4 linked regions of the Arabidopsis thaliana genome follow. The protein of the gene in region 1 interacts with the protein of each later gene in a pairwise test. Each region holds a gene or a part of one and is shown in the gene's direction. Other genes may lie near its edges. The genes, in order: AT1G76185, SK42, AT1G54730 and AT1G01230.

Region 1 (5,834 bases):
ATGAACCTTCTGCTCAAACTCTGAAGCGATCGGAGTCTCCTCTGGTTTTGTTTCGTCTTTCTTCTTTCCCAAGAAATCGAACAATCCACGATCTGTAACCTCTGCCGATGATTCCTCTGTTGCTACCTTTGGCACCTCCTGTTCAGGAACATTCTTGATTTCCTCAGCCATAGTTATCGGAAAAAGATTCGATGAATGAAACACGGATTCAAAAGTATTTTTTTTATGTGAAGGTTTGAAATTCAAAAGCAGATGAAAATAAGAGGTGATGGAGATTAGAGAAGAAAGTGTGTTATATAGTGTTGAGGACTCGGGAGGGGTCCAAGCCACCGCGGATTTCACGCTCTTTGTACACTTTTTTTTTGCAATTTAAAAACATATATCTAATTATATGAAATTACAAAATGACCCGCTTTTTATGGCATCTTCTCCTTCGTCCCCACGTTAATTATCATTTTTCTGTTAATTAGATAAAGTTATATTGGATTAAGAAGAATTCATTAATTAATTGTTAATAGTTTGCTTACGTGATCTGATATCAATTTAGTGGAATAAAAAATAATGGATAAGAATGGCAACTAGATAGTTTTTTTTCAAAAGTAGTGAAAACAAACTAAATGGTTTGTTCAAGGCGTGTACTGTTTTTAATTTAAATATTAGACTTTCATAAGTTTTTTTGTTTGTTTTAATACTTGTTATGTGGACTTTGTAGTTCAATGATCGGTTTATCAAGTTAAAGAAAACTGATTCAAACTTTAAATAGAGTAAGAATAATATGGAATAAGCAAAAATGTTTTTTCATTTCCTCTGAAAGCAAAAATAATTTATTTTTGACAACGCAAAAGAGATTTTAAAGAATGGGATGTCCCTATAAATTATTGTTCTTAAAGTTTCGGGCTTTCTTATATATATATATATATTCACAAATATAGGAACCATCTTGCAAATTCCAAAAATGGATTACAGATTTTGAAAGGATTAACAATTTAATGCACCATAGATTGGAAGACACGTGTCAAGCATTAGCGCAAATCGGACGACGGAGCTCATAGTCAGAAATGGAACGTCGGATGTAGACAAAGAAAAGAGTCAGAGAGAAATTTAGATTAATCAATTACATCTTAAAACGTGTCAATATAACATGGGAAGTTGTCCTTTTGTAGGACCCAATAGTATGTACTGATTGGCGTAAAAGACGTGATGTCGGTTACGTGGGTCCACTTGACTTATTGACTAGTGCCACGCTGGAACAAGCTTGTTCGAGAAGAAATGATGATTTTTTAGAAATTTATAACGTTCCTTATTTTTTCTTTCTTCTATTCTATGCGTTACAAAATACAAACAAACCAATAAGAACTTGGTTATTTAATTCTTATCACGCTATGAATCCTCAACGATTAGGTGTTATTTTAACTTATTATTCACTAAACATGTTGAAGAGGCCAATCTAGTAACGCATGATCTTTGAAATTGTAAATACATGATCTTGGATACTCTAAACAAAAAAAAAAACAAATCCAACAAGTAATATAAGTCCGATTGGCTCAATCGATTAGGAAGGTGTTGTTGCAATGCTACCGGATCTCATTTTTAGTCCTAATGCTACAATAAGACGGGTAATTTGCGCTTGTGAATCCGCCAAAAGTATTATCAAAGAAATGATCGTGGACATAAACAAACTAAAACTAAAGATTTAGATTTTAGAACGAATAGAAAGTTAGCATCATCTTTTGTTTACCATTTTTGGGGCACATAAAACAATCTTTCGTAATCTCGTTTATGGGAAAAGGGTTTGTGTATGTATTTTTTCAACGTAAATGGTTATGTTTTCATGCAGTTTTTAAAGATAAACTTAGATGTAGATAATGAAATCATGAGTAGACAAATGAGCATAAGATGACTTGGATTTCTTATGAATTAATATGTTAATGTGTGGGATGTCATTTTCGACCTATTGAAAAAGATATACTAAAAATATTAATGAAGGACAGATGGTAATCGGTAAATGCATCATCTCTTAAAATTCGCCTAAAATAAAAAAAATGAACCGACGTGCCACATCAGTAATCTCTGGTCTCTAAATTTAACAAAGACGTAGCACGAACCGTGACGTATCAACACACATATCAAACAAACCTATCTTTTTCAATACTAACTTATTCGTCTTTTTGGTTCTTGTTGTCATATACACCGAAGCTCAGCTCTTAACTTATTCTTTGGATAATGTTTTCGGTGATAGCGAACCGACAAATTGTAGCCGACACTTAGAATTCACAACTAAACTATAGATTTTAAAATAATATTAATTAATTCGAAAGTTTGAGATATCTGAACAAAGTTTTCTGAAAAACGTAGAATACATATGGATCAAATACTATAATTCGAAAGTTTCAGATTAGTGCTAAGTAATGAACGTCATGCGTTTGTTCTTCTGTCGATTTCTTCTTTTTCACCGCCCGTCTGAGTTTTATGGGCGTGATATTTTCCTTATTGTGGTCAAATCAGGAATATTCAACAATATTTAGCACTCGCTTTACTTGGTGGGACATGAGAATCAATCGATGCATCGCTGTTTTATTTCTTTTTCTTTGATGTTTCTATTTCTGTTAGAACAAAGTTTTCATGATTCTTAAAAGCCCAAATTTCATGGCATCGGAACAAAGTTTTCATATATGATGACAACTCAAAACAAAAGAGTAACGGTAAAAGCCCAATACCCATAAAATGGGCTTAAGAATCCAGATCGGATCTATAACCCGACCCGGTTGTTGACACCGAGAGAGTCCACGCAACGTTCGCCGAATTCCTAACGAATCGGACACCGTTTCGTCGCTGTAAAATTTTGATGCGAAATTTTCCAATTCACAGATTTTGTTTTTCCATTGTTTTGGATTTCTAGATTCTAGTTATATGTTGGTGATAGATTTTTCCTACATCTCGTGATTCTCAAACGCTTCTTGAGCTCTTCGTCGAATCGGGACTGTGATCGGGACTTGGTGGAGAAGAAGCGATGATAACAAGATCGAATCTAGCAGAACAGCTCAGGGAATATCAGATTAGATCAAAGCATGATTGGGCCTCCGTTTCTTTCTTCTCTTCCACCTCCAATTTCTCTTCCTCCAGGTTAGAGATCTCCGGCTTATCCTTTCCTTTTTAATCTGCTGTGATTTGGAGCTGCGTGCTTAGAGTTGTATTTGAAAAATTGTACTTTGTGATATTTAATTCAATTGGAACCGTAAATTTCTCATCTTTTAAGGGATTGTCGTTGAACATTGGATATCTATGTGAATCCTACACAAGGAACTATAATTTTGACTTGTCCACGTTGAACCATCTTTGACAATTTGACATACACTTTTCATTCTTATCGACTCTGTTGCAATCTGGATTCTATTGTTAAATTTTGACAATGAACATTCTATAGTGGTACTTATGCTATTCGTTTCGTTTGCTTTTGATTCAGGGTTGATGTTGTAGTCTTTGTCATATGGGAACTAGTGATGTTAGCACTCGTGGTGTTTTCAGCTGTATCCTTGTACTTCAGGCGGTTGCAACTTGCTTTTATCCTGCTTTGTGTCACCTTACTATTACTCCTCTGTATGAAAATCACAAAGCAAGTGAGACATGCTAGGAAGAAGAAGCGAAGGATGCTTCTTCCTCTCTCTATGTAAAGACCGAAACCATTGAGCTGTTGCGAACCGTTTATCTTCTCACACAACCAAACCACAACTCTTCTCTGGCATGAGTTTTGTGCCCATATGCATTGATGAAGATGACAGCTAAGCTCAGACTGACTCTGGGACGCATCGCTTTTGTCCTTTGAAGAATCGACCTGAACTTGAGATATGAAACCAGGGACTGCAATTTCAAGGCTTAGCTTAGACAAATCAGAACAAAAGTGCTGTAAAGGTTGTTTTCCTGTATAAAGTAGTATGGGAGGTTGCTTTATTTTTCCTAGGCACGATCACGGATTGTTAACTTGAGCGTTTTGTGATTAAAGATAGTTTTTCCATCTATCTATGTTACACTTAATATCATGATGAAGTGATTTAGATTTGTTGGCTGTAAAAAGTTTTTAAAAAATGATTTGCAGGATTTTCATGTGACGAGAAAAAGAAAAACAACGAACACTCATGAAAGTAGAAGAGAGAACTATAAAATGAAAAGTAGCAAGCAACTTGCTCGAAACGCTCACATGTTTCTATCATTACCTTTGCGCTCTGCAACTACTTTAGTATCTTGTTAAAGAAAAAGTGGTAATAGTTAGTATTATTTGTAATGTTATGGTCTGTCAATACACTAGCTTAGCTTGATTTGATTAACTTAATTTCCAAATAATGAGATACTGTCTACATGGTGATATAGCTTTGTCAAAGTTCATTAATGACAATGACAAAAACAAGTGTGTTAGTAACCAAGATAATTGCATTTAGTCGTAATTCATGTTTTGAAACGGAAATAATTAGAAAGATCGAAAATCTCTAGATATTTGTAGAAGGTCAGTACATAACTCCACGAGTGGTCGTGATCCAATTTGTGGACAAATTTGAAAAGCAACTAAAAACAATCAAATAAGCACGAACATCCTTTTCCCTCCACACACATCAAAATCCACAGTTTGGTCCATATATTGCTATATATATAGAGAAGCAGTTAGGCATTTAATTAAGGTTGCATACAGACAGATACATACGCAACGAAACTATCAAAGCCGAAGTAACACACACACAAAAATCATATGAAGAAACTAAATTCTAAAGGGATTAGACTCTCCGAATTGATGGAGAAATGGAGAAGAAGGAAGAAAGGGCACTTCGCTGTGTACACGAACGAAGGGAAGAGATTCGTTTTACCATTGGATTATCTGAATCATCCGATGTTACAGGTGCTATTGCAAATGGCTGAGGATGAGTTTGGGACTACCATTGATGGTCCTTTAAAAGTTCCTTGCGATGGAAGTTTAATGGATCACATCATCATGCTTGTGAGAAGGAGCATGTCCCATGATTATGATGATGTGGAGAAGTCTTCCACGAGCAGCACCTGCAAGGGAGCTTCAATCTCTTCTCTCTTTCGTGGACAGAGCCAGCTTCAGTCATTAGTTTCCTAACCATTTGGAGTAATTGTTAACTTTTTTTGGAGAAGGGTTGTTCTATTTTGTGTATACCAACATGATCTTGTAATAAATTAATTATTGTAATGTATCAATGATACAGTATCATCATTTGATTTTGAGTCTTTTTTTGACGGTTAAAACAACGATTTGGGACGAAGTTATAGGCCCTGAATGGATGCTGATTTTGGATTCAGTTTTTGAATTTAGATTTTAGTTTATAGATTTTAGATTTTAGTTTCAGATTTTTATTATTATATTTTTGTTTCAAAAACCCCAAAAAATTGGTTTTTGGTTTTTGAGAAAAATAACGTTGATTGAGTAAAAACTAGATTTCCTAAATTTTAGGAGAACTAAAAAACTAAAATCATGAATGGAAAACTACAAGAAAATAATTTTTCTAAATTGTAGGGAAACCAAAATTTTAAAATCTTGATTGGTATGAAAATAAGTTTTTGGAAAACAAAAACCAAAAACTCTTACAAAATCTACAAAACATTCAATTCATGTATCCAAACTTCTTAAAGGGCCCAAAAAGGAAGAAAACATTGTGAAAGAAACAGATATAGAAATGGGCCTTTGGTCTTTAAATTGGGCCTAAGCCTTTTAATTGAGGCCTTACTAAAAGTGACGACTCACATGGTTGAATCAAATCTCAGGTAGTAAATTGTCAAAGCTGAGGAGAAAGAAAGCTTTTTCGGTCTGAAATTGAAGTGCGAAT
Region 2 (9,492 bases), 7.2 Mb from region 1:
ATAGAACTAGTCATTCCACAGAGAATGAAATCTGCATATTTAAGGGTGTTCAGACTTCAGAGGTACCAGAGAAAACTAATGGAGATGTCCAAAGCTTCCAAACAGACAACAAGACATGGTAATTATTTCAAATTCTTATCATAAGTTTTATAATATTGTTTCTGTACTCGAAAACAAAATAAAAACTAAATATTTTCTTTAACAACCAGAAGAATCAGAACACGTTCAGAATCCAGAACCAGACCAAATCTTGAGTCCAAGAAGATCGTTGGAGCTAAAACAAAGAAAATGGTGGATCTCTGTTTCTTTATGTCTTTTCTTAGTCTTACTCGGAGATTCTCTCGTCATGCTTCTCTTGAACTTCTTCTATGTCCAAATGAAGCAAGACCGTCGAGAAGAGTATGACCAAGATCTACAATATAAAGGAACATGGACGCAAGCTCTGATCCAAAACGCTGCGTTTCCTATTCTCATCCCTCTCTTTTTCATTTTCCCTAAACCAAAACAACACCTTGAAACCAACAATACTAGTTTCCTCTCCTTGCGTCTCTTCTTCCTTTACTTATCTCTTGGTGTTCTTGTTGCTGCTCACAGCAAATTGTTCGCACTCGGGAAATTAGTCTCAAACTATGGCATCTTCTCATTGATTTCCACAACACAGTTGATATTTACCGCTGTTTTAACAGCCATCATTAACCGTTTCAAGTTTACTAGATGGATCATCATATCGATATTACTCACTATTGTGATTTACGTTCTCGGTACTCCTGACTTTGGAGGACAGCCTCATGACGGCGAAGAATTCGGATACAACATCCAAGCTTGGTTAGCTTTCTCTGCTACAATTGCTTTCTCATTATCTCTTTGCTTAATCCAACTCGGGTTCGAGAAACTCCAAGTGAAGACCAAGAGATATGGTAACGAGAAAGTGTTTAGAATGGTCTTAGAGATGCAAATATGTGTCGCTTTTGTCGCCTCGGTTGTTTGTCTCGTGGGCTTGTTTGCGAGTGACGAGTATAAGGAACTGAAAGGCGATAGCAAGAGGTTTAAGAAAGGGGAAACGTATTACGTTCTGAGTTTGGTCGGGTTGGCTTTGTCGTGGCAGGTTTGGGCGGTCGGGATGATAGGTTTGGTGCATTATGTTTCGGGTCTTTTTGGTGATGTTGTTCATATGTGTGCTTCACCATTTGTGGCTTTGTTTGTTGTCTTGGCATTTGATTTTATGGATGATGTGTTTAGTTGGCCTAGAATTGGTGCTTTGATAGGAACAGTTTTGGCGTTAGGATCTTACTTCTACACTCTGCACAAGAGAAACAAGAAGAAGATGGCGGAACTTAACCAAAGTGAGAACAATGTTGAAGTTTAGTTTCTCATGTCAAGTGTTTGTCAATCTGTTCTTGTTATTCTGATTCTTGTAAGTCAATGTCCAAAATATGTTGTATAGATATGGATCAAACTATGTAATTTATTTATTAGTTGGTTTAGTTTGATTTTTTTCTTTTCTCTGTTTTGCATTTATTTGTTACAATACTTTGCTAGAGGAGTGAATCCCTATATATTTCTCAAGTAGACTTGATTGTTAACATCTATGGGGCATCGAGACACCAATAAAGCCACATCCCACTTGATGATATAAGCTGCACCAAGCTCTTATGCCTTTAGGCTCGTACCTTTCCTATATAGAATGCAACGTAAACGTCTTCCCCAAGCAACTCAAATCCAGAGGCTGATGAGAAGAAGTCTTTTATATGCTTATTTGTTTTGTATATCTTCCATGGGTGATCATTCCTCTGCAAGTGGTTTATTACGTCGATGAAAGCCAGAAATATACCAATAGGCCATGCACATTTCGGTTACAGAAGTGGCACTCTTCATATTACTAGCTGGAGAAGAAAGGTTTTCGATAGAGCTTAACGGAAATGGTAAAGTATGGTATGAGATAGAGATAATGTTATCACATTTCTTGTCACTCCTCCAATATCCTTAATATAAAGAAAGTAGCTCTAGCCTAAACAAGATTCAGAGAAACCTAGGAACAAACATTTGGAAACAACTCTGCTCAGAACCAAACATCATCAAAGTACTACCATCGTCTAGCTTAAACACCTTAACCTCTACTTCCTTTTCATGGACAAAGTATATAGAATTCGGTACGCATCAATAGTACTCATGAGCCATAACCGAGAAACAAGTATCAGTCGCCATCACAACCGCACTATCTCTCAAGGACTTAACTTCAACCCACTTCCCTAATTCCTCATCAACCTTATAAACATTGAAACCAACCATTTTGGGACATTCTATTTCCACCTCTTGGTCCACATTGCATTTTTCATTCCCAAAATCGTCATGTATCACATTAGAAATCCGAGGAGCTACACCAACATAAACATTATCATCCAAGTCCAAGTAATCAGCTTTTCTTTTCAAGACATTCTCTTTAAAAAGACGATCAACAATATAAAGCTCTCCACAACATGCAACCAAGCTTAAGTCTCCACCACATTCATTAGTAAGTGAAGTTCCATACCTAACGATACTAATCCACCAAACAATGCCTTTCGTATCCAACACGTAAATTAGCTCTTTGAGAACAATAATATCAGAGAATTCACCAATCTGATCTTTGATTCTAGTCCAAATCTCTCCATTCCAAAACCTAATCTTCCCATCAAACCCTATTCCAAAAACTCGATCTCCTCCCGCAAGAACAACTTTCTTAAACCCAAAAGCAATGGACCATTTCGGTTTAACAATAGATGTGATTTGGTTTAGCTTATCAATTAATTTTTTTATTTTATTTTAAAATAAATATATATTTTAATTCTTTTATAAATCTCTGATTGGTTGGTTAATTAATTGTTTGTATTTCCCTTTTACGAATTTAAATAAAGTAGATGTTACAAAAGAAAATGAAAATCTCTGAAAAACTCTCCTGATTCAAAAGAGTAAGAAATCTACAAAAGAAAACCACAGAGAAAATCTCTACTGATCAGTTTCTCTCCATTGGTGATCGCTCGTCAGAAAAATTGAGCTCGATTTTGTATAAATTGAAGAAAAAGAAGAAGATCATCAAATGCGTGATTTTTACTTTTCCGTTCAAGGTAAATCGATCATCTTCGGCTTCAAGCCTGAAGATAGCGCTTCGAATTGGTTGAATTGTGTAATTTTGGAGGAAGTTAAGGTTCTTGCAGTAACAACTGCTTTACTGATTTTTCTGGTTTTTTTTGTAATTGTAGAAACTGAGTTTAAGGACAAGCTTTGTCCCTTTTAGTGGAATTTAGATCTGGTTTTGTCGTAATTTCTTCTGGGTTTCAATTCTAGTCTTCTGTAGTAGTATCAGTGTTGTGTTATCACCCACTATTTCAAAGTTTCAATGAAATTTTAATACCAAGTTGTTGACTTTTCTGTGTTTCTATCTGATCATAATTAACTTCGGAAGAAATTATTGTGACCTCAGAAAATTAGGTAGCTGATTTGATTCTTTTGTTTTCTCAATTATTCTCTTGTTAATTTCATTGTTCACATAGAAATGGTTCATATTTTCTGCTAATATGTTTCCTCTTTCATTTCAATTCACCATATTTCTTCTTTGTAGTGATTGATCAAGGGAACATAAGCAGCTAGAGACCACACCACTCAGTTATTTCTATCTCATAGTGCTTGTGGATGTTCAAGCTATAAGAATGTGCTCGGTGGTTCTATGAATATATAGGTATTATGCGTTATGTTTGGTTTGTAGAATATATTCTGAGAAGGTGATAGGATGGTCGATTTGCTAACTTTATGTCACTTCTGAAAGTGAGTTTGCATGTTTCTCTTTTCTCTTAAATCTGCTTTAAGTGTTAAGATATTTTGTTTTGAATATATTTGGAAAAACCAGTGACTTTGGTATTCTGTTAGCATGTTCCAACGATCTAAATTCTGTGGGTATATACTCTGGTAATTGCTTATACTGTTTTTGCTTTATGAAAACGATTTTAATATTCTACTAGGAAGATTGGTGTTTTGATGGGATGGGACACCAAATTGCTAAGGTTTATGGTGTTATCAATTACTAGTACGTGTTATCTTCCGAACAACCACCACCATGGAATCTCATCTGGGAAATGGAGTAGGCAGTTCGAGATCTGCCAAAAATACAAAGAACACTTCTAGTTCAGTTGATTGGTTGAGCAGAGATATGCTTGAGATGAAGATAAGGGACAAGACAGAGGCTGATGAGGAGAGAGTAAGTTTTGCATCTCCTTTCTTAGGTCTTTATTTCTTTGTGAACTTCTTTAGCTTATCTTCCTTCTCATGCGCCCCTCTATTTGATGAAGTAGTTTACTTGAATTTGATGTTTTTGCCATGTTGCAGGACAGTGAACCAGATATCATTGATGGAGTTGGTGCAGAACCTGGCCATGTGATCACAACTACACTCCCTGGACGAAATGGTCAATCAAGACAGGTTAGATGGTCATAGAAACTGTGTGTCTAGATTGTTAGTGAGACGTACTGATTCTTATACAACTGTTTTTAATTTTGATTGACAGACAGTCAGTTACATAGCAGAACACGTAGTCGGGACTGGTTCATTCGGAATGGTTTTCCAAGTGAGTAAGATTGTCTATCTTGTTGTTTTACCATTGGTTAAGATTCCCAAACATTTTATGTCTCCTTGTGGTAGGCTAAATGCAGAGAAACTGGGGAGGTTGTTGCCATCAAAAAAGTTCTACAAGACAAGCGTTACAAGAACAGAGAATTACAAATTATGCAGATGCTAGACCATCCGAATGTTGTTTGTTTAAAGCATAGCTTCTATTCAAGAACAGAAAATGAAGAGGTTTATCTAAATCTTGTCCTTGAGTTTGTTCCCGAGACTGTCAATCGTACTGCCAGAAGCTACAGTAGAATGAACCAGCTGATGCCATTGATATATGTCAAACTCTACACTTACCAGGTGATTATTTCCTGTTTCTGATCTTTTTTTGTTTCTCTTTATGTAAGCGTCATAAGTAATCACTCAAAATTTAAGCTATATTCAGTTTCTTGATATGTGTCAGCTGGTTTCTTGTGGTTCATTCCATAATGGATGTTGGAGATTTCCTCTTGTTTTGCTAGATAGATTGTAAACCAGAAGGCAAAGTTCCTATCATTTCTGATACTATTGTACTTTTCCGTTAGAAGTTGGAACTATTGAACATAATTGATTGTCTCTATATAAAAGAAGTAGTGCTCAAACGTTTGTTGAACACTTAAGTGTGAATCGGGCCTGATAATTTGTTGGACATTCTCCAATGATTTTTGAGGATTTTATGTTAATGGCTACAGATTTGCAGGGGGCTTGCTTACCTTCATAATTGCTGTGGTCTTTGTCACCGTGATATAAAGCCCCAAAACCTGCTAGTAAGTTCCAATTTTTTCTCACTGAAAAGAAGTTGATGATAGATTTCACTTTCCTGTAAGCTACTTTTGTTTGAATTTTTTTTATATAGCAAGGTCTTTGTCACCACACATAAGGATTTTAAAGGCATTTGTGTACATAAATATCAGACAGTGTTCTTTAATTCTACAAATTTGATCATTATATAGTAATGACATGATGATATTTCGTTATTACATGCCTGGTGGGATTAAGCAATGAGGTTATGTATGCATCTCGCTAATGTTTATTTCAACCTCAGAGTGGTACTGGGCTTCTGTTCTGTAGTTAATTTCACTTGCTATTTGTTCAAGTAGGATGTTAAAATCTAACTTTTCGGAAAATAGTTTTGGTTTTTAGCTGGTCTGTTCGTTGGTTTAAATATTTAGAATCCTATTTTCTTGTGATTTCACAAGGATTGAACTTGTTCCATACTGTTTCAGCTGTTAGGCTCACCATACCTGCAATTGACTAGAATTTGTCATAAACAAATGTTGCCTTGTTTTTATTAAACAATCTTTTATTTTTTTCTTTACACCTATTGTGATGTGCAGGTGAATCCACACACACATCAGCTGAAAATTTGTGATTTTGGGAGTGCAAAAGTGTTGGTAAAGTTTATCAGCTATAGCTCTTAGTGGTTTAGTTTTCCTAGTCCATGCTTAGATTATGACGTGTCATGGTCCACAGGTGAAAGGAGAACCCAATATTTCTTACATTTGTTCAAGATACTATCGTGCCCCAGAGCTCATTTTTGGAGCCACCGAGTACACAACTGCAATAGACATATGGTCCACAGGTTGTGTGATGGCTGAACTGCTGCTTGGACAGGTTGGAGCACTATATTTGCATTAGCTATATGCTTGTTATTCTATTTCTTCACCCTCTTACTCATTTTTGCTCTCGCGGACTTGTTTTACAGCCTCTGTTTCCTGGCGAAAGTGGAGTCGATCAACTTGTTGAAATCATAAAGGTAGTATTTTTGCTATCAATTCTTTTAGGGTTAGTTGTATTTACAAAGAAAATGACATCTTTAGAGCTGGCACTGACTAATAGTTTCTCACTGCTGATTATATTTTTTTTATAAAACTTTACCACCATTTTTGTAGTAGGACTCGTACATTCTCTCTTCATGGTTTTTTAATTGTCATGCAGGTTTTGGGTACACCAACAAGGGAGGAGATCAAATGCATGAATCCAAACTACACAGAATTTAAATTTCCTCAGATAAAACCTCATCCTTGGCACAAGGTATACCGCTAGTAGTATCAATTATCACCTAATAGGGTTCTCTTAATCGATATATGACCAAGCTTGTCTCGGTTTAGTGAGGTTGATTGAAGTATATGTGATCAATTAACTTCATATTTCATTCCTCTGGCATATAGAGCGATGTGACAGCTTTGCCTTTGTATATAAGATTCTTATACAAACAAATAAATTGAACCTTTGCCAAAAGGAATTACTCATGCACACACTCGTGGGGGTTGAAAACAGTTAGGCTTCATGATCTTGGCTTTTTTGCTGGTTTAAGTTTCTATCTAGATGAAGTTTTATTCAGCATTTTATACAGCTGACATTCCAGAACTCTGTTACTCGTTATTCTTATCTTTTGTTTTGCTCCGTGCTAAAATTTCTCTTAAGTGATCATTTCCTTGGTTTTACTTCTATATAGTCATGTTCTTACAGCACAAGAATCATGTGTTTGTTACTTTCAGGTATTCCAGAAACGTCTGCCACCTGAAGCAGTAGATCTTCTTTGTAGGTTCTTCCAGTATTCTCCTAATTTGAGATGTACAGCGGTAAATTATTCATAGCTTTTCTCTGACTTTGTTACATATTCTACTTCCATATTTTTTTTGGGATCAGCATCAGAAGCTAACCCATTATAAGTATGTCTTATGATTTTCTGATAGGTGGAAGCTTGTATCCACCCTTTCTTTGATGAGCTAAGAGACCCAAATGCTCGTCTGCCAAACGGCCGGCCACTTCCTCCGCTATTCAATTTTAAACCACAAGGTAAGGTTCTGTTATTTGCTTCTTCTTTTTTCCGTGTTAAATTCTTTATAAGGGAAGAAAATTAGTATGTGTTATTGATAAGCGTGTGTCCTACAGAACTCTCTGGTATCCCTCCTGAAACTGTGGACCGACTTGTCCCAGAACATGCCCGTAAGCAGAACCACTTCATGGCATTACACTCGTAAGTCTCTTCCGTGTTTTCTGTACGACCTATCGGGTGTTCTCTTCTTTTCTCTAAGCTCTCTAGATCCCAGTCTTTGGGAAAAACCAGTAGAGCTCTCTCTCTGTAAACAGAAATCACTGGAAAAAGAAGCAATGACTTTTGTATTAAGGTGCTTGCGCATCCCTTGTCGTGAAGTGAGGATGCGTAAAATACAACACTACTTTGTTAGATATATGATATAGAGGAACATACTTACATTTGCAAGACTCCTGCCACAACACAATTTTCCAAAAAATTTGTGAACCTTAAAATGAATTGACAGTTTAGTTTATTTGTCCATGTTTACGAACTTGATTTGAACCATATTACTCGAATTACACCAAACCAATTTATCTTCGAGTTAATTTCAAATAAGGCATTTGTTTTACAAAATAAGGCTTAAATATTGAAGGCCCAATAAGACCATGTACACAAAAAGCCTTTTAAACTAGTTTCACCTCTCTCTCCCATTTTTAGGGTTTCGTCAGAGACAGAAGTGAGAGAGGAGGAAAAATGCCGGCGGGACACGGAGTGAGGGCGAGAACAAGAGATCTGTTCGCGAGACCATTCAGGAAGAAGGGTTATATTCCACTCTCCACTTACCTCAGAACCTTCAAGGTCGGCGATTACGTCGATGTCAAGGTTAATGGAGCTATCCACAAGGGTATGCCTCATAAGTTCTACCATGGTCGTACTGGTCGCATCTGGAATGTCACTAAACGTGCCGTTGGTGTTGAAGTCAACAAACAGGTTTGATTACTCAAAACTTTTAATCTGTTTGAAAGAGTTTTTTGTTGTTGAAATTAGGGTTTGAAATTGATTTTGATTCTTTCATTTGGGGTTTAATTCGTCTTTCTGTGAGCTATCTGTTTTGAATTCTGAGATGTTGGATTAGTGTTGGCTCGAAAGTTTCAAGCTTTTCTTATTGGGTCGTTCGTTTACTATTATTATATGTTTTGATGTTGTGAAAGCTTCTCTTTTCATTTCTTGTGTTTATGATTAGTGTAATCTGTTGGAGAGCTAAGTTGGTGTGTTGGGTTGGGTTTTAGATTGGGAACAGAATCATAAGGAAGAGGATACATGTGCGTGTGGAGCATGTGCAACAGTCAAGGTGTGCTGAGGAGTTTAAACTCAGAAAGAAACAGAACGATGTGCTTAAGGCTGATGCTAAAGCCAGAGGTGAGACTATCAGCACCAAGAGACAGCCTAAAGGTCCTAAACCGGGTTTCATGGTTGAAGGTATGACATTGGAGACTGTCACTCCCATTCCTTACGATGTTGTCAACGATCTCAAGGGTGGTTATTGAGTTGTTTCCATTTTATTATCATTCTCTACTCAGAATTTTTGCACTTGCTTTTTTAATTATGTTTTTGTATCAAACAAGACTGATTTATATACGATATGAGTTCAGATTTTGTTAGGAAAGATGGTTTATCCCAATCATTTACCTATTGCATTTGTATTTAAAAATCGTTTCTGCATTCTTCAGAAAAATGATACCTTGGGAAAAGTTGAGACACCTAATCTTTTTCAGTGTTAGCAATTTGAACCACAAAAAGAGAGAGCAATGGAAACAAAATCTTTGTAAAGTTGCGAATTTCAGATAGACCTTTTAGCCCAATAGTTTTTAATAGCCACAACAGAGCCAGCCTGACCAGTAATTACAACCATTGCTGTACACTGCACCAGCCCAACCGCTGAGACAAAAAAAAACGCATGTGGCAGAGTCAGTGGAATGTTATCTGTTTCCTTTCCACCTTCACACTATTGTCTCCTCTTCCTTCATCAGAGTGAATGGTGGTTAAAACTTCCCCAGCCTCCGGAGCGACTTCCTTGATAAAATTGACCTTGGATCTGTGAAACT
Region 3 (9,922 bases), 8.2 Mb from region 1:
CTCAACTATATTACATGCATTAATAAAGACTTAAAGAGTGACTAATTCGAAATCTTGTCAGATTATTGAAGTAAGAGTTTTATTACGTCGTTGTTAGTATACAGATTATATAACAAACAATAAAATGTGGTTCCCGTGTAAAGATAATTATAAGTTATAACCTTATATTAGACGACAAAAAAAAAAATGTTATAACCTTATATTATTTGAGAAGTTACAAAAAAAGATTAAATAAATATGGACGAACAAGAGAAACTATATCTGTATATAGTACTTAAGTTATAACCCTATAACTCACACATTCTTTCAGTAGCAATGAGTTTAATCAAAATGATTCCTTAGACTTGTATTTATCCACTCACACGGTTTAGTAATATATTAAATGAAAAAAAGCTCTAAAAGGAAGTTGCTCCTATATATCTTATTCTTCTTTTATATGGTTTTACAAATTCATAAAATTCACCAAAATGACAGTACCATGCATATACCAACCACCCTACGATCAAACAGCAAGGCTAAAACATAACTGTAAGTGTTTTCACTATTTTGTTTCATGTTTTCACCCTCTTGGTTACGAAGGCAACTATGCCAAAACTTATTAGTAAACTTTGATTAACTGACTTTTGTTGAGACCAAAGAACAGTTCCAAATCTTGCGTCTACCCGTCTCCAATTATTTAAAGAATATTTTGTCAGAGTTGCACGTTTTTACGAACACCATTTCATTAATATAACTATATGTTCTTTTAAAATAAAGGCCAATAATTTCACCAAAAAACTTAAAAATAAAAGCCAACTACTGTTTTTTTGTCCTACACTCCTACTTGATTTGTTTTTCGTCCTTTGTTAATTACCCACGATATCTTCAAGCCTTTTTAAAAAAAAAGTGTCTAAAACTTCTCAAGATCCTATATAAATGTATGAAGAGTTTTGAACTTAGTACTTGTCACAAATATAAGTGACAATATCCTCTTAAGTCTCTTACTCTATCTCTCTCTTTAACTGTATCTTAAACAAAAAGAAAGAGTATGATCATCAGAAGAAAAAAGAAACAACAACAATGGAGAGACAAAAGAGCATGGAAGCCAGTTTACTCAGGAAGAGTCTCAGCATAAGAGAAAGGAAACACCCAAATGAAGATGGTTACCCTGAATCCAGTTTACTCAGAAAGTGTTCAAGCATTTTATTTAACACCTTCTAGGCGTGAAATGAAAGATCTAAATCAACAGGGGTCAACTTAACTAGCATTGAGCTCTTCTCTAAGTGATGAGACTATGCAACTATATATCATGAATCAAACATTAAACACCCTAATCTAGCCTAACGATCACCTATGAATGAGACTACTCAATTATTATGACAATTAAAATACAAAATGTAAGAAAACTAAAGATTATCAATAAATTCTAAAACAATTGAATAAATGTTAGTGATGTTAGCCCAAAAGAGTTTAGATCTAAGAGGCTACTGAAAGTAAGAGCAAGACGGCTACTTTAGGTAATGTTTTGAGTGAACTTTGCTTTGTATTATTTCACTTAATCTTTAGGTTACAACATGGTTCCCTTTTATAGCTAAACAATGCTAGGGTTTCAATGATTGTAAACTGACAGCTGTCTCTGTCTTATCAAGCTTCGGAGGTCACCAAACAACCAAATCTGTTCTTTGTGTTGATTGGATCCGTACAGACGCTCCTCTTCTCTGTCTTCACTCTGATTTGTTTTCTTGCACAGGTGGTGGTCTTGTCTGTTGAGAAGAGGAAGAACACTTGTTGGGCTTCGTTGTTGTGTTGGTTGTGTTGTCATTGGGCCTGTTTGGTGAGTGGCCCAATAACCATTTTCCTTTGTTAAGCTGAGCGACGTCGTTTTCTTTCTTTGACTCTTTAGCTGAACTTGAGCTCTGCTTCGATCTCATTTCAGATCTTGGAGCTGTTGATGGCGGAGCAGTGGAGCTCTTGCTAATAGCTACTACAACTAACCATAAGTGAAAACTATATATGAAAAGCTTAGGATTTTAGTTCTTATATGATAGTATTTATATGAAAATATAAGTGTATCCGGATCGACCGATTCAGATTGGGCAAACCCTTAAAGGAGAAGTAGATAAATGATTGATCGTCTGGTCGATTACCATTATAAATCTCATGAAATACGTATGTCTTTCCTCTTTTTCGTTGAAGGACTAACTTTTTTCAAGAGAGATTTACCCGTTCGATTGCTACTGGTCTTAGTTTCTTCTTACTCGAACTCGTTATTCTCTTCTTGGTTCTTTGCTTGTTCCCATCTATAGAGTGTGTGCTTCAGATAGTTTCATAGACCTATTAAAAGATAATATATATTTGCAATGCATATGCTCTAGGATCTTAAATTCAAATCAAAACTAAAAATACAAAAAAAGAAAAGAAAAAACAAAAAAAAGAAGACATAAACCTAGTTGTTTAAACCACTAAAATACAAACGCATAAACTTACTACACATGAAAATGAAACGACTACATACGACTGACTACTTTGCATATATATATTTGTGAATTACTCTTCACTTTTTCTCTATATATAATAACAACTTGAAGACAAAGACAAAATAATAAAATAACCTTATCTCTTCTCTATATATTAGTTCTTGAGATCTCTCCAACAACTCTACTTTGTCTTTACTCAAGTATTTCACTAAGAAAGATAGAATCACAAAAAGGAAAGAGAAAATGAGAGGAGAAATCGATGAAGCTAATCTTGCTCCTGAAACTTCACTTATTAACAAAGAGAATCAAGACTCATCGGCGACAATAACAACTACTCTCTTGCTCACCACTTTTGTAGCCGTGTCTGGTTCCTTTGTCTTTGGCTCAGCTGTGAGTTTACAATTACTAATTTTTGCTTTTGTTCAGTAATTGTGTGTTGTGTTTTGTGTTTGAATCTTAATTTCTAATTTCGTTGAAAATTTTGGCAGATAGGATATTCATCACCTGTTCAGTCGGATTTAACCAAGGAGTTGAATCTCTCTGTGGCAGAGGTAAACTGTTATTTTATTTTTTTGTCTTTTAATTTATTATGCCATATGTTTTTGTTTGCTAGCTAGATAGGTAAAATATACTTAAGTACATTTAACTTATGTGTATAGTATTAGTTACTGATCTAATCAATGAGTATGGATTGAGGCAGTAGTTTTTTTTTTTTTTTTTAATTGAGGCAAGTAGTTGTGAAAGGGTTATGATACTAGAAGAAAATAATGAGTGGAGAATTAAAATTTAAAGGATTATCTCACTATTTTTGTACTAATAATGAGTGGAGAATTGACGGAAAAAAAAATGAGTGGAGAATTGAATTTTTGTACTGTAGACGTACTGGTCCTACTCCAAATGCTTGCATGTTGAGATAAATTAGTTGTGTCCGGCTATTAATTATGATCTCTATTTCGGTTAGAATTTTTTTTCTTTTTTTTTCTCCGTCTTGATTTAAGGTTTATAGGTGTGGAAAAAATATCATTTAGTAGAAAATTAAGAAATAAGCATACCTTTACGAAAGATGACAAATTATATAAACATCATCGTAAAAATCAAGATATATCACCTATAAATGTTTTTAAACTACATGCAGTACTCGCTCTTCGGTTCGATTCTGACAATTGGAGCAATGATCGGCGCAGCTATGAGTGGACGAATCGCCGATATGATAGGCAGACGAGCTGTAAAATTTGTTCTTCTTTCTTTCCATGACAAGCGAATATTTACATTTTTGCGTCAAACTGGTAAATAAATCATTTATTTGTGTGTGTGTGTGTGATTAGACTATGGGTTTCTCGGAGATGTTTTGCATTCTCGGCTGGTTAGCAATCTACCTTTCTAAGGTTAGCTTAGTATTTTTCTATATATCTCTCTGTATTTCTCATCAACTATATTTCTTCAAGAAGTACTTAAAATTTACCATGTGGTTTTTGTCTATTAAGGTTGCAATTTGGCTTGACGTTGGGAGATTCTTGGTTGGTTATGGAATGGGCGTTTTTTCGTTTGTGGTAAAATCTATAAACTCTAGCTAGTAGCTTGAATAATGAAAAATATTGTGGTGATTACAAGAAAACAAATTCGATGATCAATTGTAAGATGAGTGACCTAATGATCTAAATAAATATATCTCTACTTTTCTTATATATCTATTTACAATAAACATTAGCCTTCTACAATTGTTAATTTCTTAAAACGAAAGCTATATTGGTCATATTAGATACTAGATTATATGTTGAAACTATTTGTTGCCCCCAAGAGTATGATATTTCATATGTACTACTAGCTGGTATTCCGGCTTAAAATTGCGCATGCGAGGAACAACACAATGAAAAGATAACTTCTTCGATTTATGTAGCTGAAAGTTGTTGCTAGCTATAGTACAGTAGATTTTGTATCGTTCTTTCATCTAGATTGTTTTGTTAATCGATGATCAGGTTCCTGTATACATAGCTGAAATCACTCCTAAGGGTCTTCGTGGTGGGTTTACAACTGTTCATCAGGTATGAATATGTTATACAATAACTAAATTAGTTTTTATGAATATGTTATACAAGAACTAAATTAGTTTTTAAAAATTAAATCAGAAGTTACAAAATATATACTCTAAAAGTATTATTTTCATCTCCATCGATCTTTAACAGTGTTAACATTGCAGTTACTGATATGTTTGGGTGTCTCAGTCACATATCTCTTGGGCTCTTTTATAGGCTGGCGAATTTTAGCTTTGATCGGTAATATCCGTCAACATACTTTAAATAAGTTACTCATACTAAAAAATTGTTAATTAATTTTTTTTTTATGCTCCAGGAATGATACCATGTGTTGTACAAATGATGGGATTATTTGTCATCCCAGAGTCTCCTAGATGGTTGGTACGTTATCCGTCAACATACTACAAGTTTAATAGTTTTTATGTACCTAATGCCAAATCTAGTCTATCCAATCATTACGCTAAGTAACCCAAAACTTTCATTGTTATAGAAAATAATTGTTCGCAAAAATTCTCAGGCAAAAGTTGGCAAATGGGAAGAATTTGAGATTGCATTGCAACGATTACGTGGTGAATCCGCAGATATTTCATATGAGTCTAATGAGATCAAAGTAAAGTAACACTAAATTCTATTTCTTGAGCTCACTACATTTTTTACAAATTTCCATTAAAGTGTAAAATCTCCTGTATTTCTATATTTTCTAGGATTATACGCGAAGACTTACAGATTTATCAGAAGGTAGTATAGTAGATCTGTTCCAGCCACAGTATGCTAAATCTCTAGTTGTAAGTGTTTTTAACTTATAAAATTGTTCAATAAGTAGTTATTTTCATTATTCTATGATGAAATGCCAAGTGGGTTTTAGGTGGGAGTTGGTCTGATGGTTTTGCAACAATTTGGAGGGGTTAATGGAATTGCTTTTTACGCTAGCTCTATTTTCGAATCTGCTGGTACATGCACCTTTAATATTGATTAATGTGCCTAAACCCCAAAAATTAAAAAAGAACTTCACTAACCAACTTAATTTTTTGTTTTGTAGGGGTTTCTTCCAAAATTGGAATGATTGCGATGGTGGTCGTACAGGTAAGTTTTTGGGTATTATTATTTTATTTTCCCCAATTTTTTGATGGTTAATTAAGTGAATGAATATATATTTATATAGGGTAACAACACAACTAATACAAATATATATTACAAAAATAATATAATTATACTAAAGGATTTTTAGGGAAGAAAAACCTGAGAAAGAAAGAGAATATATAATGTTAGAGTGTGAATTGTTTCCATTCGAAAGAGAAGGAAGAGAGCAGGATAGCGATCAGTCGCGACGACTAATTCCTGGAGATTGTTGATCGATGCGATAGGTCGCTGGATCTGTCGCTAAATTTAACGACTACCAAACGACCATCACTGGCGACTACTAAACGATCATGACCATAAAATTATAAAATGAACACACGCTTCTCCGATACAAACCAAATCGTTCTAATCTGAGTTTCATTTGTTTACCTATCAAATACAAAAATTAATCTGACCCAAAATTTATCCTATAACAAGATTATAGAGAGATAAACCCGTAGAGGAACCATATATCAAGGTAACATGTTAGAAATACCTAACATTAAAGAAATGAGACGTTGAGTGATATATGAATAATATGGTCTAATCCACTTTTGTTTTGAATTGAAAAGCCAAAATAATTACAATTAATATATAATTGTTTAACATTTAAAATTCAATGTATCATTTCTTAAAATTATTTGTAGCTGAGACGAATTTTCTTTCCAGATCCCTATGACAACTTTAGGTGTACTGTTGATGGATAAATCAGGAAGACGACCATTACTTCTAGTAAGAAAAAACAAGTGACTAACATTTTTTTATAATGTTATTAGTCAAATACAAAGTAATTTTTACAAGTACCTTTTCTCACTATATTAAAAATAAAGTTTTTAAAGAATTTATGTTATAACTGTAGTTCCAACTTATTATTGTTTTTTTATCTTTTATTATTATTATTATACATTGGTGGATAATTATATATTGCCTCCCTAGTCCCTATATATATGTCAATATGTATATGTTGAAAGAATTACATATAATGAATTTAATATTTTATCTCTTCAGATTTCTGCTACTGGAACATGTATCGGGTGTTTCCTCGTCGGTTTATCATTTTCATTACAGGTTCTCTCCTTATTTATATTTTAAAATAATATCTTGATTTTATCTATTTTTAACATATTATGTTTTAGTATATTAATATCAGTATAAAAATTGAATATTTTTTGTCTACAGTGGTGCCATATGACTTTATTGTTACCATAATTATAATTTTTTCTTCTAATAGAGATTTAATATATTTTCTCGATCTATGTCTAGATCTAGATGATAAATATCTAGAAATATTAATTTTTATTGTTTGATTGTATATTAATATTAAAACTTCTCAAGTAGTTGCATATATGCTTCAAAATGTTTATAATTTCATATTATGTACTATAATTTTTGGGTTCATCCTGTTGTAGTTTGTAAAGCAATTGAGTGGAGATGCTTCATATCTAGCACTTACAGGCGTTTTGGTAAGTTTGACGACTAAAATCTAGATTTCCTTTTTTTTTATCCTCAATTTGAAAAGTTTGAAAATAGTTGATATGAATATGATAGTTTTGGCATACTGAAACGTTGCTGTTTGAAAGTGGGAATGACTGTACCAATAAGATGGTGCATGAAAAAAATAGAAGAACTGATATACACATCTATATCATCAAAATACGTTTATTTTTCCTGTAACTCGTTCTGAAAGAACTATATAGTAGACGTGTTTGAGTTGAAGGAATTTTACGATGAATGACTTGCTAAAACAAATTTCCGAATACTATGTCGGTGAGGAAAAACTACTAGAAAAGAACAAATAATATCATTATTGTTATTAACAAGTATTTCGTGGCTTCTGGGATAGCGAACCAACTATTGGATGAAATTAGAACCCACACACATACTTTGAAAGATCGTAGACGTCCATAAATGATAAATTTATCTTATTTTTTCAGGTGTACACCGGATCATTTTCATTAGGGATGGGTGGGATTCCTTGGGTCATTATGTCAGAGGTAAGTAACATTCATAAAAATTCTTTGGTTTTAAACATACTCTTATACTTAATAATCCGATCGATGTCTTAAGAAATATTAAACTTTATATCATAAACCTACGGTTTAGTATTAAAATTAAATAATAAATTATTTAACTCTCATATGGTTGTATGTGGTATGATTTTGATCAGTGTATATAAATTATGTTCCTTTATGATTTATTTATTGATTCTTTGTTTATATAACATTTTAATTCAATTTAGTTGGTGCGTAGATATTAATTTTATGTTTTATATGATAAAGATATTTCCAATAGACATAAAAGGATCAGCCGGAAGCCTCGTGACTGTTGTTAGCTGGGTCGGATCATGGATTATATCTTTTACATTTAACTTTCTAATGAATTGGAATCCGGCAGGTATAAAATTTGTTTAAATTTTGCTTTTATCAATAAATTTTGTTCTTTATCTAATAGTGGCACAAGTTTTAAATTTTCAGGAACGTTTTATGTTTTCGCTACTGTTTGTGGGGCTACTGTTATTTTTGTAGCAAAACTCGTACCAGAAACCAAAGGTCGCACACTTGAGGAAATCCAATATTCGATTGGTTATGTAGAATTGTAATGTATAGTAGTTGATTACGAGAATATCAGTCCCTAATTATAACGATTAAAAGTAAGATTTTTTATTTTTCTTCTTTCCTTTTGGTATAATCGTATCATCCTTTTTGCTTAGTGAATTTGAATAAATGGTGTTGTTTTTGGTTACCAAATATCGGAGAACATAATTGAAGGTGTCGAGGAAAAAAATCGAGGTTATGACGAGTTTACAACTTCTAAAGACAGTGAAAGATATTCGAAGTTTTTTTGGACATATATGTTGGGTTCTACAAAAAAATTATAAAATATTTCTTTGAGATAGTTAGACCGCTTACAAAAATGTTATGTATGGAGGTCAATTTTGATTTCATGGATGAGTGCAAAAAATCAATTTTAAAAAATGATTGTTTGACAAATATCCATTCAAAATATACTAACTAAGGGATTAGATCACGATATTAATGACATATTCTTGTTTTCCATTTTTTCCTTTAACACACACAAACCAAAAAAAAAATTAAAAAAAAATTTTAAAAAAATAGTCATTTTTCCTCTTTTTATATCTAAAAACAAGAAAGAAAACCAATTAAAAAGAAGTGACAGAGATTGAAGTGTGAAGCCATCTGACGTGGGACTTATCTTACGTTCTCTTCTAATCTCTACAGGTCATCTTTCTCGGTGGCACCTTTATTCACCAAGCAAAACACCGCTTCTTTCGATCATCTATCTCTTTCCCATTTTCTTTTCTTGACTTTTTTTTCTCTCTCTTCTTGTTCTATTATAAACAAAAAATGTGTAATAATTATTCATCAATCCTCAGAATAATACAAATAGGGGAGTAGGTATCTATCTTGTCACCCTCTCTCTCTCTCTCTTGTTACCAAGATGAGCTTCTACAAAAGAAGCTTTCACTCTTTCCTTGGCCAAACCAACACCAAAGGGATGCCGTTTGAATCCGGTCTTGGCCATGATGAGACACAATCACATGGCTTAATGTTGTGCACAGAGTATCTAGGGTTTGAGAGTTACGACATGAGGATGTCCGATAACGAGGTGGAGAACAAGATGACTTGTCATGCGGAGGTGGAGACCGAAAGGGTTGAAGCAAAGAGGAGGAAGACGAAGGAGAATGTGGTGGTGCAAGCGCAGAAAAAACAGTTTCCTCCGCCTCTCTCGTCATTAAACAGCCGTGGACAGCGATATTTTTATCTCCGTCCGGTGAGAAAAGACGGTAGATTGGAACTTACGCAAGTTATGGTCGATCGACCAGAGATTTTCCACGTTTCTAGAGTAGATGGACGGTTGAGATTACATTTTGTCGATGGTGTCGAGAATCCCATTAGAGCTTATTCTGGTCCTCAAGAAATTGTGGCCTTAGAAGAGGAACCTAAGGGTCTAGGTAATGAGAAAGAGGGAGGGGAGATTAGTAGATCTGATCTGGAATGTGGTAGAGAGATTAATGAAGACGACAATGATGGTGCATGTAATCAAGGAATGGATTTATCTATAATCAGTGATGATAGTGGTGCAAGAAGTTGGAGATGTAAAAGTAGTCATGATGTTTCGGTGAATAGTAATAATGATGTTGCACATTTCCATGATGACCATGACACGAGAGAATGGATGTACAACAGTGGTTTTAAGATCGTGGCAAGTAGGAACCATGATGAGAACAATCATCATCATTATCATCATCGTCATCGTCATCATATTCATCCATACCATCATCATAATAGTAAC
Region 4 (6,458 bases), about 28 Mb from region 1:
GTAGGAGGTTGGAGTGATACACCTCCATGGAGCTTAGAGCGTGCAGGTTACGTCCTGAACATGGCTATAACCTTAGAAGGTTCACTTCCAATTGGCACAATCATTGAAACAACAAATCAGATGGGAATCTCAATCCAAGACGACGCTGGAAACGAGCTACACATCGAAGATCCAATAAGCATTAAGACACCATTTGAAGTCAATGATCCATTCAGGCTTGTTAAATCTGCTCTATTGGTAACCGGCATTGTCCAAGAAAATTTTGTTGACTCCACAGGGTTAGCAATAAAGACATGGGCCAATGTTCCTCGTGGCAGTGGTCTAGGAACCTCGAGCATTCTAGCTGCAGCTGTTGTGAAAGGACTTCTCCAGATATCTAATGGAGATGAAAGCAATGAAAACATTGCAAGACTTGTCTTGGTTCTGGAGCAACTCATGGGTACAGGAGGTGGCTGGCAAGATCAGATTGGTGGATTATATCCAGGAATCAAATTCACTTCAAGTTTTCCAGGAATCCCTATGCGTCTTCAAGTTGTTCCTTTACTCGCCTCGCCACAGCTAATTTCAGAGTTGGAGCAACGCCTCCTTGTTGTTTTCACGGGTCAAGTAAGTAGCAACCACTGAGAGGAAGAAAAGATTTTTTGTTAGCTACAGAGTCTCATTCATTTTATGCCTTTTTTATATAAACAGGTCAGGCTAGCTCATCAAGTCCTACACAAGGTCGTTACAAGGTATTTGCAAAGAGATAATCTCCTAATTTCAAGCATTAAGCGATTGACGGAGCTGGCGAAATCCGGTAGAGAAGCGTTGATGAACTGTGAAGTTGACGAGGTAGGCGACATAATGTCAGAAGCTTGGAGACTGCATCAAGAGCTGGATCCGTATTGCAGCAATGAGTTTGTGGATAAGCTTTTTGAGTTTTCGCAACCTTATAGCTCAGGATTCAAGCTGGTAGGTGCAGGTGGTGGTGGATTCTCACTTATATTGGCTAAGGACGCAGAGAAAGCCAAGGAGTTAAGACAGAGATTGGAAGAACATGCAGAGTTTGATGTCAAAGTTTACAACTGGAGCATCTGTATTTGAAAGATACATACAGTGTCAGTGTGTCATCATCTTGATTCTTGTAAATTGATATATTTTTTTGGGACCTTTGGAAAAAATAAAAGCAGAAGAATCTTTCAGATTTGCAATTAAAAACGATGTCGTGTGGTAAACAAAATCCTTTGCTTGACCAAGTCGTTCTCTTCTTGCTTCTGGTTGGTTTACTTCATAGTTCAACGACCACCAAGCTGTGAAGTGACCGTATTACCCCTGCCTGGAATCAAGGTCAAAAGGCCCCGGAAAATCAGTACGTTGGTAGCATTTGGATTTGGAGATAACGCCGTTAAAAGACTCTGTAACGGGTTTGCTCAACAGCTCTCTCTAGTTCGTTTATCGAATTAGATAATGCCACTCCAAAAAACGTTACTTTACCTTACCTATCTCGCTGACGTCAGATCCCACCGTTAGAGCTTACACTTGTAACGCCGTTTCCTGCATTTTCCACAAGCAAGGTAAAAAAAAGCTTTGTGCAGAGAGAGAGAGAAGAAGAAAAATGGGTTTGCTTACGAACAAGATTGAGAGAGAAGAGCTAAAGCCAGGAGATCACATCTATACTTACAGAGCAATCTTCGCTTATTCTCACCACGGTAACTTTAGATTCATTCTTCCCAAGTTTGCTCCTTTCTTTCTCGTTCATTCAATCATAACATCAAAAAGTGAAATTATCCTCAATGCAAGTCTTTTCTTTTAGTTTCTACTGGTCGGTTTAATCTTCTTATTGAAACTGTAAATTCACAAAGTTGACGACTTTATCTAGATAGATCTTGAAGACAATGGTCTATATTCCAATCTTTGCATGACCTAATTTCACCCTGGCTCTGTATTTTGATGTTATTCCATCATATCTTCTGATCTCTGATGGACTTTATAGATGATTTTTGTTTATTTGACATATTTTTATCCCAATTTCCTCTGGTGATGAAGAATTGATACTGTTGTAGACATTCCTTCATGGGCTTTGATTTGATTGTGGATTTTTGCAGGAATCTTTGTCGGTGGGTCCAAAGTTGTTCATTTCAGACCTGAACACAACCCCATGGATTCATCAACATCATCAATATCATCATCTTCCTCTGAAGATATCTGTTCCATATTTCCTGATTGCGGTTTCAGACAACCGGACAGTGGAGTAGTCCTTTCTTGCTTAGACTGTTTCCTCAAGAACGGCTCACTCTACTGCTTCGAATATGGAGTCAGTCCATCGGTTTTCCTAACCAAAGTCCGCGGAGGGACTTGCACAACCGCGCAATCTGATACAACTGATTCAGTCATCCACAGGGCAATGTACCTTCTCCAAAACGGATTTGGCAACTACGACATTTTCAAGAACAACTGTGAGGATTTCGCGCTCTATTGCAAGACCGGTTTGCTTATAATGGATAAGCTCGGTGTAGGGAGAAGCGGTCAAGCTTCTTCAATTGTTGGTGCTCCTTTGGCTGCACTCCTCTCTTCTCCTTTCAAATTGCTTATTCCAAGTCCCATTGGTGTGGCAACAGTTACTGCTGGTATGTACTGTATGAGTCGCTATGCTACCGATATTGGTGTTAGAAGCGACGTCATTAAGGTCTCAGTTGAGGATTTGGCTCTCAACCTTGACGTAAAGACCATTGAGCAAGGTGAAGAAGAAGAAGAAGACGAAGAAGAAGATTCTGATACCGACTATGTTAGGTGACAAACAGATACCTATCACCTTTGTTCACGAATTTCGATATACATAAGAAAACATTTCAGTTAGAATCCTCATGTTGGTTTTATGTTCCCTTTATTGCATTTGTTGGCCTATTTTCTGTCTGTACAAAATGAAAACGCAGACGTTTTGGTTTGGGTAATGTCAAAAATATCCCAATAATTAATTAATGCCCAGTGTAGATGCAAAAAAGCAGTCGTCGTCTTTCACGGGCACACAAAATTAAACCAAAGAAACAAACAATCCTTGTTCTCGCCGAAATAGAGAATTTTGTGAATCTGGGTTTTTAGTTCAGGTGTTAATATAAGATTTTGATCAAAAGAAGACGAGATTCGATCCGATCCGATCTGATTGAAGAAGAAATGGCGAATCTGTATGTGAAAGCGGTTCCACCACCGGATATGAATAGGAATACGGAATGGTTCATGTATCCAGGAGTTTGGACGACTTACATGCTTATTCTCTTCTTCGGTTGGCTCGTTGTTCTCTCTGTCTCTGGTTGTTCCCCTGGAATGGCTTGGACTGTTGTTAATCTCGCTCACTTCGTTGTAAGTCTTCGATTGTGTTTATGCTTTAGAGATGATTTTTTCACTTAGGGTTGTGACTTTAAATTAGATGATGGATTGATTCCTTGTTTTTTTTTTATTTCCTGAGATCTGGATGTGAATCTGGCTCTAGTGTTTGAATTGATCTCTTTGGTTATTAGCAATTTTTTAGTTGGTTTAGGGTTCGAATGAAGAGGCAATTACCTTCTGATTGATCAGTTTTAGCTATCGTATATCGTTGAGCTTGGATCAGGCTTCGAATTAGGATACAGTTACCTTCTTATCAATGAATTGATCAGTTTTGGTATCAGCGATTTTGAATTGATCTGTTTGGATACTATCAGCAGTGTTGACTGTTGAGTTGATCAGGCTTTTAAGTAAGATGCAATTCTCTTCTAAGTTTGAATTGATCGGTTTTGGATCAGGCTTCGAATTAAGATGCACCTTCTCGTTAATGAATTATCAGTTTTTGATATCAGAAACTAAAACTACCTATGGCATCAATGCAATTTCTTAAGGTCTAACTGTTTGATATAATGCGGTGACTTGTAAATTGGCATTGCTTGATTGTCAAAACCAAATTTAATCTAATTTCTAATTACTCTTTAGGAAAATGTGATGTCTGAGTAGAAATTTGTGGATATTTGTTGTCAGGTAACGTATCACAGCTTCCACTGGATGAAAGGAACTCCTTTTGCAGATGACCAAGGAATCTACAATGGTTTAACTTGGTGGGAACAAATGGACAATGGTCAACAGCTTACCCGCAACCGCAAATTTCTTACCCTAGTTCCTGTTGTTCTGTAAGTCCCAGCACCTTGTTCCTCAAAATCTCACCACTCTTGTCTATTTCCAATCTATATTTTCTTAGCAAATTATTTTCTTTAGCTGCATATATCCTTGTGTCTCATATGGTTAATAAATATGCTAATTTCTCAATACACATATCTAAATCCGGTGATGTGTAACGGACTAGTTCTAGAGAACTCTGTATACGCGATAATGTGTATAAACAAGAGCTGCATTTATCTGGATGAACTTTTAAGATTGAGCTCTTTAGCTTTTGTACTTGTTTTCTGACTTTATAACGACACATTTAAAACAGGTACTTGATTGCATCGCATACAACAGATTACAGACATCCATGGCTGTTCCTCAACACACTCGCTGTGATGGTTCTCGTTGTTGCCAAGTTCCCCAACATGCACAAGGTACGCATCTTTGGTATCAATGGTGATAAATAAGTTTCCTTTACGGCAAGAGAACACCTGAAAGAAGGAAAAGGGGATATAAGCGAACATATATATGTGTAAATGTTCATATGAGTTGGTTTAATTCTCGAGTCATGTTTTTTGTTGGATATTTGTAAGTAAACTCTCTAATTTTGAAGCTTTCATCTTTTACCTTTTATAATAGACACGAAAAAGCTTTCCCTTCATCTCCCCACTTCACTTCAGATAATGGGCCTAATAGCAATATGGGCTTGAACAATAATTGAATTTAACAATGGCCCAAAGATTCCTGTCGTGGTGACTCATGAGTTATCATAACACCAGAATGTTTTCGATTGAGCGTAATGATTCAGTGGGATCTAAAGAACACGTGGCTGCCTACAAGATCTCTAACAGCTGGTTAATGACACGTGTCATAGTTAAAGTCCACCTGGATGGATATTATATCATGGTGTACGTATACAAAATAGTTAATCCCTCTTCAAAATTGAATAAAGCTAACAAAAGTAATCAATTAACGTGATTAAAAAAAAAAAGAGAATGCTAATTGGACCCCGAAAACATGATATATCCTGCAAAATTAAAGCCGACAAAACGAAAGAATGACTAATTAAAGTTGGAATAAGACTAATGATTTTTTTTTTTTTTTTTCTTATTGTGGTCCAATGTAAGAAAATAAATAAAAACATCTTATCCATTAAATCGAAAGTAGGGTCCATATCGTAATAGCCGTCGATTCTCTCTTTAGCCAACACGTGTTGTCAATCCAGCTGTTTCAGATGCTTACCAAGCCAAACAAGTTATTGAAACTGTGTCGTTTTGTGTCCCTAACTCGGAAGCTTTTACGGAAGAAACTGTAAATTTGGTTCCATGGGGCCAGAGAGTGTGAGAAACGAAAATTAAAAAAAAAGAGAAGAAAAGCCAAAAGCTTCGGTCGCGCAAGATCGCTTCATTTGTTTCTAGAGTGATTCATGGATTCTTTAAACTACTAATAATGGTATCTTTAGTTGTTACTTCGTTTTCTGATCTATTTTACAAATCTTACTCTTTTGCTCTGTTTTCGTGGTTTTGTTTAGATAAAAGTCTCTGTTCTTCTAGTTTCTTCCATCAGACTGTTTTCTCATGGATCAGTGATGATTTTTGTTTCCTGGGTCAACTTCTGATTTTGGAATTTCTGAAAATTTTGGTAAATTTACTCGATCCCATTGCGAAATCTTACGCATGATCTTTGTAGTTTGCTCTGCTCAAGACTTTCTTTTTTTTTGGTTCTGCAGTATGTCTTAATTGCTCTGAAACTTATGTCTTGTTGTGTTTAATTTGGTGGTGAAATATATTGTCTTCTTTATTCCTGGATCTGTTAAGATTGTTTAAGATTTCATATACGTTGAATTGGTTTTGATTGAATATATTTTGGTTCCCAGACGTTGCGTGTATTATTTAATGTAAATTCCTTAAATCATTGGCTTATCTATGAATCAATCATTTGCTTAGAAGCAATCTCATGAGTAGCAAGAAAAACGAATTAATCCTTCCCATGTCTTTTATGTTTATATTACAGGATCTGGGTGAAAAAAGAACAGTCTTTTGATTTGGTGTGTTTCTCTTTTCTCTTAATTTTTTAGGATTTTTGTTGTGTCTTAATGAAATAATGGGAGCAGCTGAAGCAAGAGCATTGTGGCAAAGAACAGCTAGTCGTTGCTTTGTTGTTCATGAGGATGCTAAGATGGCTCCGAGGTTAGCTTGTTGCCAACACCAACAATCTTCTTCGGGCAACACCGAAAAAAACAGCTTTTCTTCCGGAAGTTTTGGAGATTCCTCTGATTTCTCTTGTGATACCAAATGGTGGCTTAAGGGATCAACTGGTTTTGATGAGGAGGTTACAAACTCCTTTCT

Evidence for each region.
Region 2: the proteins of AT1G76185 (region 1) and SK42 interact in a protein complementation assay, tested with the Arabidopsis thaliana proteins (one large-scale study listed by BioGRID).
Region 3: the proteins of AT1G76185 (region 1) and AT1G54730 interact in a protein complementation assay, tested with the Arabidopsis thaliana proteins (one large-scale study listed by BioGRID).
Region 4: the proteins of AT1G76185 (region 1) and AT1G01230 interact in a protein complementation assay, tested with the Arabidopsis thaliana proteins (one large-scale study listed by BioGRID).

What each region holds. Positions count from the first base shown.
Region 1 is NC_003070.9:28,587,487-28,593,320, forward strand, and holds AT1G76185 (NADH-ubiquinone oxidoreductase chain), read left to right. Parts: upstream 1-2,838; 5' UTR 2,839-3,010; coding exon 3,011-3,123; intron 3,124-3,463; coding exon 3,464-3,671; 3' UTR 3,672-4,045; downstream 4,046-5,834. Other genes in the region: ERD14 (Dehydrin family protein), read right to left, coding at 1-171; AT1G76190 (SAUR-like auxin-responsive protein family), read left to right, coding at 4,739-5,110.
Region 2 is NC_003070.9:21,429,476-21,438,967, reverse strand, and holds SK42 (shaggy-like kinase 42), read left to right. Parts: upstream 1-2,864; 5' UTR 2,865-3,091; coding exon of another isoform or gene 3,092-3,131; exon of another isoform or gene 3,132-3,455; coding exon of another isoform or gene 3,456-3,541; exon of another isoform or gene 3,542-3,598; 5' UTR 3,599-3,715; intron 3,716-3,995; exon of another isoform or gene 3,996-3,999; 5' UTR 4,000-4,090; coding exon 4,091-4,231; intron 4,232-4,359; coding exon 4,360-4,452; intron 4,453-4,537; coding exon 4,538-4,597; intron 4,598-4,671; coding exon 4,672-4,944; intron 4,945-5,315; coding exon 5,316-5,390; intron 5,391-5,960; coding exon 5,961-6,017; intron 6,018-6,096; coding exon 6,097-6,237; intron 6,238-6,328; coding exon 6,329-6,379; intron 6,380-6,561; coding exon 6,562-6,657; intron 6,658-7,124; coding exon 7,125-7,208; intron 7,209-7,322; coding exon 7,323-7,425; intron 7,426-7,521; coding exon 7,522-7,606; coding exon of another isoform or gene 7,607-7,610; exon of another isoform or gene 7,611-7,757; coding exon 7,758-7,830; 3' UTR 7,831-7,917; downstream 7,918-9,492. Other genes in the region: PUP17 (purine permease 17), read left to right, coding at 79-118, 210-1,366; AT1G57906 (F-box protein), read right to left, coding at 2,158-2,718, 3,092-3,131, 3,456-3,541; AT1G57860 (Translation protein SH3-like family protein), read left to right, coding at 8,141-8,377, 8,677-8,934. UniProt on the Arabidopsis thaliana protein: May mediate extracellular signals to regulate transcription in differentiating cells.
Region 3 is NC_003070.9:20,421,772-20,431,693, forward strand, and holds AT1G54730 (Major facilitator superfamily protein), read left to right. Parts: upstream 1-2,574; 5' UTR 2,575-2,699; coding exon 2,700-2,846; intron 2,847-2,944; coding exon 2,945-3,007; intron 3,008-3,591; coding exon 3,592-3,681; intron 3,682-3,781; coding exon 3,782-3,841; intron 3,842-3,940; coding exon 3,941-4,006; coding exon of another isoform or gene 4,007-4,030; exon of another isoform or gene 4,031-4,432; coding exon 4,433-4,498; intron 4,499-4,653; coding exon 4,654-4,729; intron 4,730-4,805; coding exon 4,806-4,870; intron 4,871-5,006; coding exon 5,007-5,099; intron 5,100-5,193; coding exon 5,194-5,274; intron 5,275-5,354; coding exon 5,355-5,439; intron 5,440-5,528; coding exon 5,529-5,572; coding exon of another isoform or gene 5,573-5,623; exon of another isoform or gene 5,624-6,277; coding exon 6,278-6,340; coding exon of another isoform or gene 6,341-6,358; exon of another isoform or gene 6,359-6,616; coding exon 6,617-6,676; intron 6,677-7,017; coding exon 7,018-7,071; intron 7,072-7,542; coding exon 7,543-7,602; coding exon of another isoform or gene 7,603-7,674; exon of another isoform or gene 7,675-7,887; coding exon 7,888-8,002; coding exon of another isoform or gene 8,003-8,019; and 4 more. Other genes in the region: AT1G54720 (early-responsive to dehydration protein-related / ERD protein-like protein), read left to right, coding at 1,060-1,156, 1,629-1,766, 1,853-1,983; AT1G54740 (FANTASTIC four-like protein (DUF3049)), read left to right, coding at 9,068-9,922.
Region 4 is NC_003070.9:94,470-100,927, forward strand, and holds AT1G01230 (ORMDL family protein), read left to right. Parts: upstream 1-2,942; 5' UTR 2,943-3,150; coding exon 3,151-3,336; intron 3,337-3,987; coding exon 3,988-4,136; intron 4,137-4,438; coding exon 4,439-4,577; 3' UTR 4,578-4,771; downstream 4,772-6,458. Other genes in the region: FKGP (L-fucokinase/GDP-L-fucose pyrophosphorylase), read left to right, coding at 1-606, 691-1,083; AT1G01225 (NC domain-containing protein-like protein), read left to right, coding at 1,595-1,688, 2,085-2,773; AT1G01240 (uncharacterized protein), read left to right, coding at 6,214-6,458.